Linked DNA regions of Anolis sagrei. The protein of the gene in region 2 interacts with the protein of the main gene of each other region in a biochemical or structural test. Links are inferred from orthologs where the notes say so. Each region holds a gene or a part of one and is shown on either strand. Other genes may lie near its edges.

The links.
Region 1: the proteins of NMUR1 (region 2) and NMU form a complex in vitro, tested with the Homo sapiens proteins (2 studies listed by BioGRID). The link is inferred for Anolis sagrei from reciprocal best matches to the Homo sapiens genes NMUR1 and NMU.

What each region holds. Positions count from the first base shown.
Region 1 is NC_090025.1:73,560,080-73,567,669, reverse strand, and holds the start of NMU (neuromedin-U), read right to left. Parts: upstream 3,099-7,590; 5' UTR 2,969-3,098; coding exon 2,806-2,968; intron 1-2,805.
Region 2 is NC_090023.1:266,931,787-266,938,918, forward strand, and holds the start of NMUR1 (neuromedin-U receptor 1), read left to right. Parts: upstream 1-3,921; 5' UTR 3,922-4,376; intron 4,377-7,132. UniProt on the Homo sapiens protein: Receptor for the neuromedin-U and neuromedin-S neuropeptides.

The DNA.
Region 1 (7,590 bases), on a different chromosome or scaffold from region 2:
GAAAATATGTAACAAAATGTGAAAACAAAATCTGTTCCTGGTTTGAAAGTGTTATTTCCTGTTTAAATGGGCAGTACTTATTTTGAAAATAATAGTTCTACTTCAGAAACTTTGTTTTTGTGGCTGCCACAAATTAGGTCAAATTGGTTGAAACTTAAAAATATATTCCTTGAAAAACATAGCAAAAATGTGCTGCAGGAGGTCCGTCTAAAACAAAATATGGGCAGTTTAATAAACTTGCCCCATGTTTTTATGATAGAACCAATTAGGAAACGACATTTATAACCCAGGAACAAAACTGGTGTTGCACAGTGTTATTGGGTTGATTGAGAGTTCTGGATTTTGTTTAATAGTTTCAGTTGTTAGGTTGGATATCTCTTTTGGTTGTTAGAGGTATCAGGCTCGATCTACTCTGCTCTATACCCCAGGTTCTGATCCCAGATTATCTGATTTGAACTGAATTCTATGAGTCTGCACTGCCAAATAATATAATCTGGGATAAGCAGATAATCTGGGATCAGATCCTGGGATATAGGGCAGTGTAGATCCACCCTCTGATCTTACAAGCAGTTTTGTAGTATTATATAGATCATATCATAATTAACAATAATCATATCGTAATTAAAAATAATCACATCATAACTAAAATAATTATAATTAAATATAATTATATATAGAGGGAGGGGGTGAGAGAGCAGCTCATTGGAAGGAAGGATATTAGAGGCAAAGATGAAGTATTTTGGCCACATCATGAGAAGACAGGAAAGCTTAGAGAATACAATTATGCTGGGGAAAATGGAAGGAAAAAGGAAGAGGGGCTGACCAAGGGCACGATGAATGGATGGATGGTACCCTTGAAGTGACTGGCTTGACCTTGAAGGAGCTGGGGGTGGTGATGGCCGACAGGGAGCTCTGGCGTGGGCTGGTCCATGAGGTCACGAAGAGTCGGAAGTGACTGAACGAATGAACAACAACTCTCTCTCTCTCTCTCTACACACCCACCCACACACACACACACATATATGTATCATATCATAATTTTTAATTATGATAATTTTTAATTATATATATATATAGAGAGAGAGAGAGAGAGAGAGAGATGATGTATTGTGATATGATCTAGGTCAGTGGTTCTCAATCTTCCTAATGCCATGACCACTTAATACATTTCCTCATCTTGTGGTGATCCCCAACCATAAAATTATTTTTGTTGCTACTTCATAACTGTAATTTTGCTACCATTATGAATCGTAATATAAATATCTGATATGCAGGATGTATTTTCATTCACTGGACCAAATTATGCACAAATACCCAATACAATCAAATTTAAAAAATGGTGGGGTTGGGGGGATTGATTTTGTCATTTGGGAGTTGTAGTTGCTGGGACTTATAGTTCACCTACAATCAAAGAGCATTCTGAACTCCATCAACAATGGAATAGAACCAAACTTGGCACACAGAACTCCCATGTTGTTGTTGTTGTTCATTCGTTCAGTCGTCTCCGACTCTTCATGACTTCATGGACCAGTCCACGCCAGAGCTCCCTGTCGGCCGTCACCACCCCCAGCTCCTTCAAGGTCCCATGACCAACAGAAAATACTGGAAGGTTTTGACAGGCATTGATCTTGAGTTTTGGAGTTGTAGTTCACCTACATCCAGAGAGCACGGTGGACTCAAACAATGATGGATCCAGACCAAACTTGGTATGAATACTCAAAGTTCCCAAATGTGAACACTGATGGAGTTTGGGGAAAATAGACCTTGACATTTGGGAGTTGTAGTTGCTGGGATTTATAGTTCACCTACAATCAAAGAGCATTCTGGACCCCACCAATGATAAAATTATGCCAAACTTCCCACACAGAGCCTCCATGACCAACAGAAAATACTGTGTTTTCTGATGGTCTTTGGTGACCCCTCTGACACCCCCTCACGACCTCTCCAGGGGTCCCGACCCCCAGGTTGAGAAACACTGATCTAGGTGATATTACAAACCTGCTTGTAGGATCTGAGGCTGGATCTACACTGCCCTATATTCCAGGATCTGATCCCAGATTACCTGTTTATCCCAGATTATCTGGCAGTGTAGACTCATAGAATTCAGTTCAAATCAGATAATCTGGAATCAGAACCTAGGATATAGGACAGTGTAGATCCAGCCTCAGATCTTACAAGCAGTTTTGTAGTATTATCTAAATTATATCCTAATTAAGAATAATCATATCATAATTAATATAATTATAACTAAGTATATATATATATATATATATATATATGAATTTTAATTATGATCTGATCTAGGTGATATTATCAAACTGCTTGTAGGATATGAGGCTGGATCTACACTGCCTTATATTCCAGGATCTGATCCCAGATTATCTGTTTATCCCAGATTATCTGGCAGTGTAGAATTCAGTTCAAATCAGATAATCTGGAATCAGAACTTGGGATATAGGGCAGTGCAGATCCAGCCTAATACCTCTAACAATAAAAAGAGATATCCAACCTAACAACTGAAACTATTAAACAAAAACTAGAACTCTCAAATCAGATAATCTGGAATCAGATTCTGGGATATAGGGCAGTGTAGATCCAGCCTGATACCTCTAACAACCAAAAGTGACATAAATATACATATACATACAAATGCATCCATATAGATCTCAGAAGCAAGCAAGCCCAGGAGAAAAGATAAGGAGGGACACTTGGAGGGAGGAGTAGATCTCTAGACAGAAGGAGCGCCTGAAAGAGGGAGAAAGGCGTGGGGTGGCGAAGGGAGGGGAGGGTGGGAAGAGCCCTTACCTTTGCAGGAGCTGACCCCAAAGGCGAGGAGGAAGAGGAGCAGCCCCCAAGGGGTGCCCGACCCGAGGGGCATCTTCCTGGGGCGGCAAAGGCTTCTCCCGCCCTCCTCCGAGGCTGCCAAGGAAGGCTGGGGTCGCCAACAAGCGCCCGCCCGGCTTTGCATGGTTCCTGGGCACCTCTCTGCCTTTGGCGCGCTTTTTGCCGCCGCTGCTTTCCTCCCGGCTTTGCAACTCCCAGCCAAACAGAGCGGACTTTTAAATCTCCCGGACAGGAGGAGGAGGAGGAAGAGGAGGGCAGAGCTTGGCTCAGAGTCACGCTCTGTCAGAAAGGCAACTGTCTAAACCTGGTCACGCACACACCCTCCAAAGAGTTCTCCTATTTCTCAAATTATTTAGTCACCAGCTCTAGCTAGCAGTTGGTAGGGAAAGGGACTAAACGGCTTTCCCCCATTTTTTTTACCACATATGAGGGTTTTTCACTTCTCCCAATCCCCTTCCTCAAAATATGAAGACTTCCACCTATCTCAACATCTGCCACCAGATGTGAGGGCTTGCATTTATCCCACCTACACCTACCAAATATGAAGGCTTCCACTTATCCCAACCCTTGCCAGCAAACAGGGCTTCTATTTATCCCAAACACAGCTATGAGGGATTCCGTTTCTCCCAACCAAGCTACCAGATGTGAAGGCTTCCATCTAACCCAACCAAGCTACCTCATGCGAGGGCTTCCATTTATCCCAAATACAGCTACCAAATATGAGGGCTTCCATTTCTCTAAACCAAGCTACCAAATGTGAAAGCTTCCATTCAACACAACCAAGCTACCTCATGTGAGGGCTTCCATTTATCCCACACACAGTTACCAAATATGAGGGCTTCCATTTATCCCAACCAAGCTACCAAATGTGAGGGCTTCCATTTGTCCCCAAATAGAGCTACCTCATGTGAGGGCTTCCGTTTATCCCAACCAAGCTATCAAATGGGAAGGCTTCCGTTTAACCCAACTACAGCTACCAAATATGAGGACCTCCATTTCTCCCACCCACAGCTACCAAATGGGAAGGCTTCCATTTAACCTAACCAAGCTACCTCATGTGAGGGTTTCCATTTCTCCAAACCAAGCAACAAAATGTGAAGGCTTCTATCTAACCCAACCAAGCTACCTCATGTGAGGGCTTCCATTTATCCCACACACAGTTACCAAATATGAAAGCTCCCATTTCTCCCAACCAAGCAACCAAGTGTGAGGGCTTCCATTTATCCCAACCAAGCAAACAAATGTGAAGGCTTTCATTTATCCCTACCAAGCTACCAAATGTGAAGGCTTCCATTTAACCAACCAAGCTATCTTGTGAGAGGGCTTCCATTTATTCCAAATACAGCTACCAAATATGAGGGCTTCCATTTCTCCCAACCAAGCAACCAAATGTGAAGGCTTCCATTTAACCCAACCAAGCTACCTCATATGCTGGCTTCCATTTATCCCAAATACAACTACCTCATGTGATGGCTTCAATTTATCCCAAATACACCTACAATATATGAGGGCTTCCATTTCTCCCAACCAAACTACCAAACGTGAGGGGTTCCATTTTATCACCCACAGCTACCAAATGTGAGGGCTTCCATTTATCCCACGCAAACTACCAAATGTGAGGGCTTCCATTTATTCCTCTAAGCCCTTGTGGTTCTGTGTGAGATTTTATTTATCTTCTTTTTCCACTGGGCACCCCACTCTTGATTCTGAACTGCCACCATAGACACCTTGTCTGAACTTGGCTTTCCAAGAGACCAAAGCATTTCATGCAAAAAGATGTATTTATCAGAAATCGAACATGAGATTAGATTTGTTTTTAATGCATCGAAATGACATATTTCCCTCTCATACACATCTCCTTGCTAAGTCTGACTCTGAGTCTTAGTTCTCTTCTATCTCAGATCCTAACTTATAATCATTCACATTCTGCATCCCACTAACTAATTTCTAATACTGACAGACCCAATTCTCACCAGACTAACAACCATATGCATCTTCACTTTTACAATCCCCTCAGAAAACCAGCTGATCACAAGTCCCAATAATCCATGCCTCACATGGAACATTCCATGCCTGACAGATCACCAAATTATTCCATCTACAACATGAATACACAACCATGTTTTACATTAATGCAGCAAACAAATGTAATAACAAAGAACTAATTCAGAAGATCACAGGGTTAACACCTGAGTCTGGAAGTTAACCATCCCCAAAACTGGATTGAAGGTTACAATATCATGAAAAGAGCTGTTGGTCCCATCAGTCTTTTGTGACTAGCACATGTAGTGTAGCAAGCATGGAACAAGGTGATGAATCCTCAGGTGGCAAAACAGACCTTGGTTCTTCAATACCTATTCAGTGCTCTACGAGAGAATGTGCACTAGAAAAAATGATTCTATTTCTCTTTCAGTTCAATTATGTGATAGTTTTCTGCTTGCAAGGAGATTCATTTCCCAGGGATGAACATTTTAAAAATGTCATTCTGATATGATCCAGGATTATTGCATCATTCAATGTTATGTGTAGACCAGACTTCCCAAGCAGAAGGTGGTAGAGATGCTCCAGGTGAGAAATTTCTTCCATTTCTATATTCATTTGCTTCAGAGATTTCCTCTTTCATCGTCCCTTATCAGCATATCCAATTGTAACAAATGCTAAGAGCTGCAGTCTAGCAACATGTGGAGGGACCCCATAGATCACCCCTGATTTACTGTATTCCTATTCATAAAGACTCCATCTGTGCGCACATTTCAGCCACCCCATCCCAGTTGTTCTCCAGGTTTGTTGGACTAGAGAGGTGGTTTCCAACCTTTGGTCATCCAGTTATTCTGTACTTCAACTCCCAGAAATCCCAGCCAGTTTACCAGCTGTTAGGAATTGTGGGAACTGAAGTCCAAAATACCCGGAGGTCCAAAGGTTGGGAACCACTGGACTAGAGCTTCCCTAAATTTGCAGTCACCTAAGGAGCTGTCTGGGGGTTTATGGAAATTGGTGTTCAAGACACATATGAAGAAGATCCTCAAAAAATCCGTTCCTGTTATGGATATAAAAATTCTGGTGTTGTATGCAAATACCTATATGTTTCTACAAGGGAGAACAGATTGGACATTAGGATTTTAATAGGGAAAAGACAGGAAGAAACACTGAAATCTCTTGCACAACTCTGCAGTCCTTCCTATAATTCTCTCTGGCCCATTTTATAGCTACTATTAAACTTTTTCTTTAAAAAAATCTTTTGATGTCACATCTAGTTTAGCCCTAAGCAAGTTGTGGGTGTAGGTTGCATTGAACATAGTGAGACATACTTCTAAAAATGGGCATAAGTTTGGGATTCATGAAAAGTGTCTTTGGGGAAGGTTTGCAAAGAGTAAGCATCCGAAATTACATGTAAAAAGTTATATATTCACACGCACACCCCAACATTGGATCCTAACTTATGAAAGGAAATGAAAAGCATCATAGTGAAAGATAGTTCCAGAGATCCCCATCAGTCATTACTAATCAGAGTAGACATCAAAGGCCTGGAGAAACAATTCTGAGCTAGTTGGACTCAGTATCAGTTTTACAGAATTAGCCCAAGTAAGGAAGTTGTTGTGAGCCCAAATTTTGGCAGTAACCAAGTCAGAGACTATGAGAGGCTACTGGTTTGCATTTTTATTAATGTACTTTTTATTTTAAAACTAATTTTAAAATTAATTTACTGTGTAATTACAATATGTATTATTTATATGTAACGGCATCCAATTGTGCCAGATGTAAGCCGCCCTGAGTCCGTCCCCCCCCCGGAGGGGGGGAGGGTTGAGAAGGGCAGGGTACAAATGTTTGAAATAAATAATAAACAATAAATTAATTAAGCAATGAACCAGAGAATTCCGAATCTAAAACATCAAAGATCCCCAAATCTGAAATTATCATGGCTCCTAAGCAATTGTAGCCTTAAAATCAATTTCCATTGAGAGGCAAGCATGCCACTAAGCCAGAGTGACAACATGAGATGGCAAAGTTGTAGATGTCAGGCCAAAATACTTACTTTAAGGCTTTGCATTCTATGTTTACCTGCTGAAAGATGTCAAATACAATGAATAGGAAAGGACTTCTGTTGATACAGTTGCATTCATTAGAGACACTGTCCAGGGTCCTGAAAAGCTTGCTGCTCTGTTTTTAGGAAGCCAATTTCAGGGAAGAAGACAACCAGCATGATGTAGTCATTTGTGTATTAAACAAGGATACTGGGAGATCAGATTTCAAATCCTTGCTCAACCATGGGAACCTACTGGGTGATCTTGGGCAGGTCACACTCTCTGAGCCGCAGGGGAAGGCAAACCCCTCTGAACAAATCTTACCAAGAAAAACATCATGATAGGTTCACTTAACAGTTGCCATAAGTCAGAAATTACTTGAAGGAACACAACAATAGCAGCAATTTCAAAGGGAAAAAAACCCTGTCAAAACCACCTTGGAGTATGCCTTGTTTAAGAAAGCGCTTTGAAATTCAAGGGGTCACCATAAGTAGACAGGCTATTTGAAGATTAAACCTGCCAGACTGTTTCCTGCCTGACATCCTACCCATGAGCTCTGCTTGGCCAGATGGCAAACACTGCTATAACAGCCAAGAATATACAAATATAAAGCCACCACTGCAAAAGAATTTGCACAGATAGATCATAAGGCTCTCGTATAGCTTCTCTTCTGATGTATATTGGAAAGCAAAATAGTGGTTAGTTGAAATTGTCTGTTAATATG
Region 2 (7,132 bases):
TGAATTCTGCCACACAAGGGGACCGGCTCCGTTTCCCTCTGTTTTCTGCAATGTACTTCTCTCCACCTGCACAGCAGCCAAAGAACCCCAGAAGGAGTGGGAATTATTCATGGCTAGAACAAGGCCCAGATCTCCTTACACCACATCAGTGCCGAGTTGCTGAAATCCTCATGAGAAAGCAGACAGTTCTCCAATCAGGTATGAAACATATCAGGGCATCATACTTCCCTGCAACCCTTTCATTTGCAATATTCTGGGAGCAAGTTATAGGGTTTGAGTGCCCTTTATTGTAAGGGATATGCTTTATTCAAGGGTCAGGAAGCTTGCCCCTCATGGGGCTGGCAGGTGCCCTTAATCGTAAGGGATGCTGCAGAAGATGGATGGCCATGGGTTGGGAGCAGGCCCGTAGCGAGGGGGGGGGGGGTTAGGGGTTCAAACCCGCCCCCCGAAATGTTTCAGATTTTTTTAAAAAACCTGGTTTACTCATGAATTTTAACTGGTTAACCAAATCCCCATGCTAAGTCTATGAGATGCAAAAAATCAAGAGTCCCTCCAGAACTGCAAGCACTATCTCGAGCAAATATTGGCAATTTATTCACACTGTCATTATTTGCAGCAATAGCCGATGTAGTTGTTCTGGTACAGCTGTACCAGGAGCTCCAACTTTATTTGCTTTGTATTAAATGTTTGCTTGCAGTCCTAGGTTTCAGGGACTCTGCAGATAGGTGGCTTCCTTCGGTTGCAGTCATAGGGCAAGTCACCTGTCCATCATCGTTAAGTTTTGGTCCCGCCCCTTGCTCAGGGCAATTGGAAAGGGAAGGGAGCCATTTTTAGTTAGTCTCAGCAAGGTAAGCTTATGTATAGGATGTGTGCAAGCTTCCCCTGTACAAAAGCTTCAACCCTTAAGACCTTCCGGGGGAGAAAGGTCTTAAGAGTCTCCAAAGAATTTCCAGGAAAACAGCCCTAAAGACCAAAGAACTCCAGCTGGAGAACATCTACTGCCTTGCTGGTAGGTCCACTCGGCGTTCGAGACGCAGTTCGACCCGGTAGCGGAGCCCACATCAGTAAGGGTTAGATTACAGTCAGCCTGGGAAAAGTTAAAACGGGGATTTTTCTTTAAAGAAGAAGTTATTGAAGACAGTTGCCTGTCCTTCGTGGGCAAGATTAGGAATTCACCAGTTGCCTAAAAGCTTGGAATCATTTGCTTAACTTTACTGAAGACAAGAGAAGTTTCTGTTTGATTGTTCATTAATAAAATACTTTGTTGTACTTCTCAAGCCATCTAAAGACTGTTTGTGGTGGAAACCTCTGAGAACTTCTCTTTAGGCCCCCTGGCTTCCTGCTGGGCAAAGGTTGCACATCCTGTTCTAAAGACAATTATTTACAGGCCCGGCGCGTGACAGAATAGTAGTGAAGCAACCAAGTTGGGGGGGGGGGGGATGTTGAATGCTCTCATTAAGGAGGCCAGACTTGGTGGAGGTGGTTGACAAGGGCGGAGCTGCAGGCTATTGAAGGCTGCTCTGCCCCTCTTTGCTTCAGCGTGAGCTAGGAGGCGGGTTTCAACCCCCCCTGCGAAATTTTCAACCCCCCCCCCCAAATTTCAACCCCTCCCGAATTTTTTTTCTGGCTACGGCCCTGGTTGGGAGTGCTCGGATGGTGCTTTCCTGCATGTCAAAATGTGGTGAGGTAAAGGTAAAGGGTTTCCCCTGACATTAAGTCTAGGGGGTTGGTGCTTATCTCCATTTCTAAGCCGTAGAGCCGGCATTGTCCATAGACACCTCCAAGGTCATGTGGCCAGTATGACTGCATTGAGTGCTGTTACGTTCCTATTGATCTACTCGCATTTGCATGTTTTCAAACTGCTAGATTGGCAGAAGCCGGGGCTAACAGCGGGAGCAAACCCTGTTACCTGGATTTGAACCTGCAACCTTTCTGTCAACAAGCTCAGCAGCTCAGCAGTTTAACCCACTATGCCACCGGAGGCTCCTAAAATGGGTTGAACTGGACCCATAACCCTTTGGTTAGGGAAATCCCCAAAATAGCAGAATATTAAAAAATACAAAGTAGGATACTTAATTGAGCAATTTAGCTCACAGCAGGCAGAAGGTGTTGTGGATGGAAAATAATCCTTTTGGGTTGTTGTAGGCCACCTTCCCTCTCTCCTGAGGAATCTGGACAAGGACCAAGTAGCAACAGTAAGAACTGACCACGGAACAAGAGACTGGTTCAAGATTGGGAAAGGCGTACGGCAAGGCTGCATCCTCTCACCCAACCTTTTTAACTTGTATGCAGAACACATCATGCAAGGATGTGCGGGGCTTGATGAATGCAAAGCTGGGGTGAAAATGGCTGGAAGAAACATTAACAACCTCAGATATGCAGATGACACCACTCTGATGGCCGAAAGCGAGGAGGAGCTGAGGAGCCTTCTAATCAAGGCGAAAGAAGAAAGCGCAAAAGCCGGGTTGCAGCTAAACATCAAAAAAACCAAGATTATGGCAACAAGAATGATTGACAACTGGGAAATAGAGGGAGAAAACGTGGAGGCCATGACAGACTTTGTATTTCTAGGTGCAAAGATTGCTGCAGACACAGACTGTGGCCAGGAAATCAGAAGACGCTTACTTCTTGGGAGGAGAGCAATGTCCAGTCTCGATAAAATAGTCAAGAGTAGAGACATCAGACTGGCAACAAAGATCCATTGCCTAGTCAAAGCCATGGTCTTCCCTGTAGTCACCTACGGATGTGAGAGCTGGACCTTAGGGAAGGCTGAGCGAAGGAAGAGAGATGCTTTTGAGCTGTGGTGTTGGAGGAAAGTGCTGAGAGTGCCTTGGACTGCGAGAAGATCCAACCAGTCCATCCTCCAGGAAATAAAGCCTGACTGCTCACTGGAGGGAAGGAGACGAGAGACAAAGTGGAAGTCCTTTGGCCACATCATGAGGAGACAGGAAAGCCTAGAGAAGACAATTATGCTGGGGAAAGTGGAAGGGAAAGGGAAGAGGGGCCGACCAAGGGCAAGGTGGATGGATGGCGTCCTTGAAGTGACTGGACTGACCTTGAAGGAGCTGGGGGTGGCCACGGCCAACAGGGAGCTCTGGCGTTGACTGGTCCATGAAGTCACGAAGAGTTGGAAACAACTGAACGAGTGAACAACAACATCTATCTCTGTGTGTACCAGATCAGCTGTGTGACTCAATTGTTGATCTGGTTTGAGCTGTATCAATTATATGCAAACAAACACACTTTCCTATATTGCAGTAATGGGCCGACTTCGACACTCCAGGTGTTTCGGACTAGAATCATAGAATCAAAGAGTTGGAAGAGACCTCATGGGCCATCCAGTCCAACCTTATTCTGCCAAGAAGCAGGAATATTGCATTCAAATCACCCCTGACAGATGGCCATCCAGCCTCTGTTTAAAAGCTTCCAAAGAAGGAGCCTCCACCACACTCCGGGGCAGAGAGTTCCACTGTTGAACGGCTCTCACAGTCAGGAAGTTCTTCCTCATGTTCAGATGGAATCTCCTTTCTTGTAGTTTGAAGCCATTGTTCCACGTCCTAGTCTCCAAGGAAGCAGAAAACAAGCTTTCTCCCTCCTCCCTGTGGCTTCCTCTCACATATTTATACATGACTACAGCTTCTACAAGTTAGGAATTGTGGAAGTTGAAGTCCAAAGCACCTGGAAGGCTGAAGTTAGAGTGTTAGGGTCTCCTTCTCTGAATGTCTTCAAAAACAGAGCCTGGGCGGCCATTTGTCGGGAGGGCTTCAATGGCGATGCAGAAGGGGGTTGGACTGGATGGCCTTTGGGGACCTCTTCCAAATGGAGGAGAGTCCTATTCCCTGCGAAAGAGGCGGCCTGAGAGTGTGGACACGCCCTCTAGTGGCGCTTTAAAACCGCAGCAAGCGGCAGACGCCGGCTCTCACTCTGCCAAGGAAGGATGCGCCAGGACTTCCGAGCCTTTCCTGCTCCTTTTCCTAGAAGCAGAGGAAGATAGAGTTGGAAGAGACCTCAAGGGCCATTCATTCCAGGCAGGAGAAGCACAATCAAAGCCCTCCCGACAGATGGCCGTCCAGTCTCTGCTTCAGAGAAGGAGACTCCACTGGATTCCCAGGCAGCAGATTGAGATGATTCTTCTTCTTCTTCCAAGCTGAGATTCCTCCTCCTCCTCTTCTTCCAAGGCTTTCTTCCAGAGTCAGGACAGAGGACATGAGTGCCATCCGGAACCCTCTGGATCCCTCTCCGTGCCATCCTTAAGCTTCTGGATCCCTGAATGCGGAGAGATCTCCTGAATCCGCGACGAGGCTGAGAAAGCGGCTCAAGGCGCACAGCTCCTTCTTGGATGGACGGGGCGGGCGGAGGAAGAAACAGAAGCAGAGGTGAGTGGGTGTCTGGGTTGGTTGGACAGGAATCCTTCAAAATGAAGCCTTGGTATTGCTCCCTTTTGGGGGGAAACCCTCTTCTGCAAACATCGGGCCCCCTTTTGTGACTTTCACCCCATCCCTGAATGAGTATCCCCTGCTTCTCTCTCTCCAAACATAGAATCCTAGAGTTGGAAGAGACCTCATGGGCCATCCAGTCCAACCCCATTTCTGCCAAGAAGCAGGACAATCGCATTCAAAGCACCCCTGACAGATGGCCATCCCGCCTCTGTTTCAAAGCCTCCAAAGAAGGAGACTCCACCCCACTCTGAGGCAGAGAGTTCCACTGCTGAACAGCTCTCACAGTTAGGAAGTTCTTCCTCATGTTCAGGTGGGATCTCCCTCCTTTTTCTCTCCCCAAACATAGAATCCTAGAGTTGGAAGAGACCTCATGGGCCATCCAGTTCAACCCCATTTCTGCCAAGAAGCAGGAAAATCGCCTTCAAAGCACCTCTGACAGATAGCCATCCAGCCTCTGTTCAAAAGCCTCCAAAGAAGGAGCCTCCACCCCACTCTGAAGCAGAGAGTTCCACTGCTGAACAGTTCTCACTATTAGGAAGTTCCTCCTCATGTTCCTCCTTTCCTGTAGTTCCATTGCATCCTAGTCTCCAGGGCAGCAGAAAACAAGCTTGCTCCCTCCTCACATCTTGATCTACGGTCCCCATCATGTCTTCTCTCAGCCTTCTCTTCTGCAGGCTAAACATGCCTAGTTCTTTAAGCCGCTCCTCACAGGGCTTGTTTTCCAGACCCTTGATCTTTTGAGTTGCCCTCCTTTATACATATTCCAGCTTAGAGTCAACCTCTTCATTCAATTCCGGTGCCCAGAATTGGACACAATGTGATTCCAGGGCAGCAGAAAACAAGCCTGCTCCCTCCTCCCTATGACTTCCCCGTTCCCCTCACCTCTTTATATATGACCCTTATCACGTCTCCTCTCAGCCTTCTCTTCTGCAGGCTAAACATGCCCTGCTCTTTAAGCCACTCCTCACAGGGCTTGTTCTCCAGACCCTAGATCCTTTGAGTTGCCCTCCTTTATACACATTCCAGCTTAGAGTCAACATCTCCCTTCGATTTCTGTGCCCAGAATTGGACACAGTGTGATTCCAGGGCAGCAGAAAACAAGCCTGCTCCCTCTTCCCTATGACAGGTCACAGGTTCGAATCCAGGGAGAGCACAGATGAGCTCCCTCTATCAGCTCCAGCTCCTCATGCATGGACATGAAAGAAGCCTCAAATAAAGATGATAAAAAAATCAAAACATCTGGGCGTCCCCTGGGCAATGTCCTTTCAGACGGCCAATTCTCTCACACCAGAAGTGACTTGCAGTTTCTCAAGTTACTCCTGACACGAAAAAAAAAATCACATCTCCTCTCAGGCTTCTCTTCTGCAGGCTAAACATGCCCAGCTCTTTAAGCCGCTCCTCATAGGGCTTGTTCTCTAGACCCTTGATCATTTTAGTCACCCTCTTTCCAGCTTGTCAACATCTCTCTTCAATTGCGGTGCCCAGAATTGGACCCAATGTGAATCCAGGTGTGGTGTGACCAAGGTTAAATAGAATAGAGGGATAGCATGACTTCTCTAGATCTAGACACTATGCTCCTATTGATGCAGGACAAAATCCCATTGGCTTTTTTGCTGCCACATAACATTGTTGGTTCATTAACTTGTTGTCCACAAGGAATCAAATCCTGAAATTGCACAGAAATCTTGGCCTTTTTCTGCTACAAAGGAAACTCTGGCTGAATCTACACTGGGTTGTTGTAGGTTTTTTCAGGCTATGTGGCCATGTTCTAGAGGCATTCTCTCCTGACGTTTCTCCTGCATCTATGGCAAGCATCCTCAGAGATAGTGAAGATGCTTGCCATAGATGCAGGCGAAACGTCAGGAGAGAATGTCTCTAGAACATGGCCATATAGCCCCCCCAAAAAAACCCTACAACAACCCAGTGATTCCGGCCATGAAAGCCTTCGACAATACAATGAATCTACACTGTTTGGCACCACTTTAACTGCCATGGCTCACTACTATGGAAACTTGAGATTTGTATTGTCAAAGGCTTTCATGGCTGGAATCACTAGGTTCTTGTTGTGAGGATGCTTGCCATAGATGCAGGCGAAACGTCAGGAGAAATGCCTCTAGAACATGGCCCTATAGCCCAAAAAAACCCACAAGAACCTTGAGATTTGTAGTTTGGCGAGGCACCAGCACATCTTGGCAGAGAAGGTGAAGAGACCTTGCAAAACTTCACCTCCCAGGATTCCATCACATGGAGCCATGGCCATTCAAGTGGCATCAAAATACATTTATTCTACAGTGGAGATGCGCCCTGTGTTACTACGAATGCGTGTTTTCCATGCTCTGCGCATTCCAGCACTCAGCGTTGCGGAAATTGCTTTTCTGATGGCATTGTTTGGAGGGCCAGGTTGTTATTTCCTTGCAGTGCTGGAAAGTCACCTCTTTCTTGTCACTTCTGATTTCTTTATTGCTACAGGTCAAGGGTCCCTTATTCAAAATGCTTGGAACTAGAAGACTTTTGGATTTATTTTTTTGAGAGGGTTTTAGAATACCACCCTGAGTCCCCTCGGGGAGATAGGGCTGGTTATAAACAAACTATTATTATGTATTGTCGAAGACTTTGTAGGGTTTTTTGGGCTATATGGCCATGGTCTAGAGGCATTCTCTCCTGACGTTTCGCCTGCATCTATGGCAAGCATC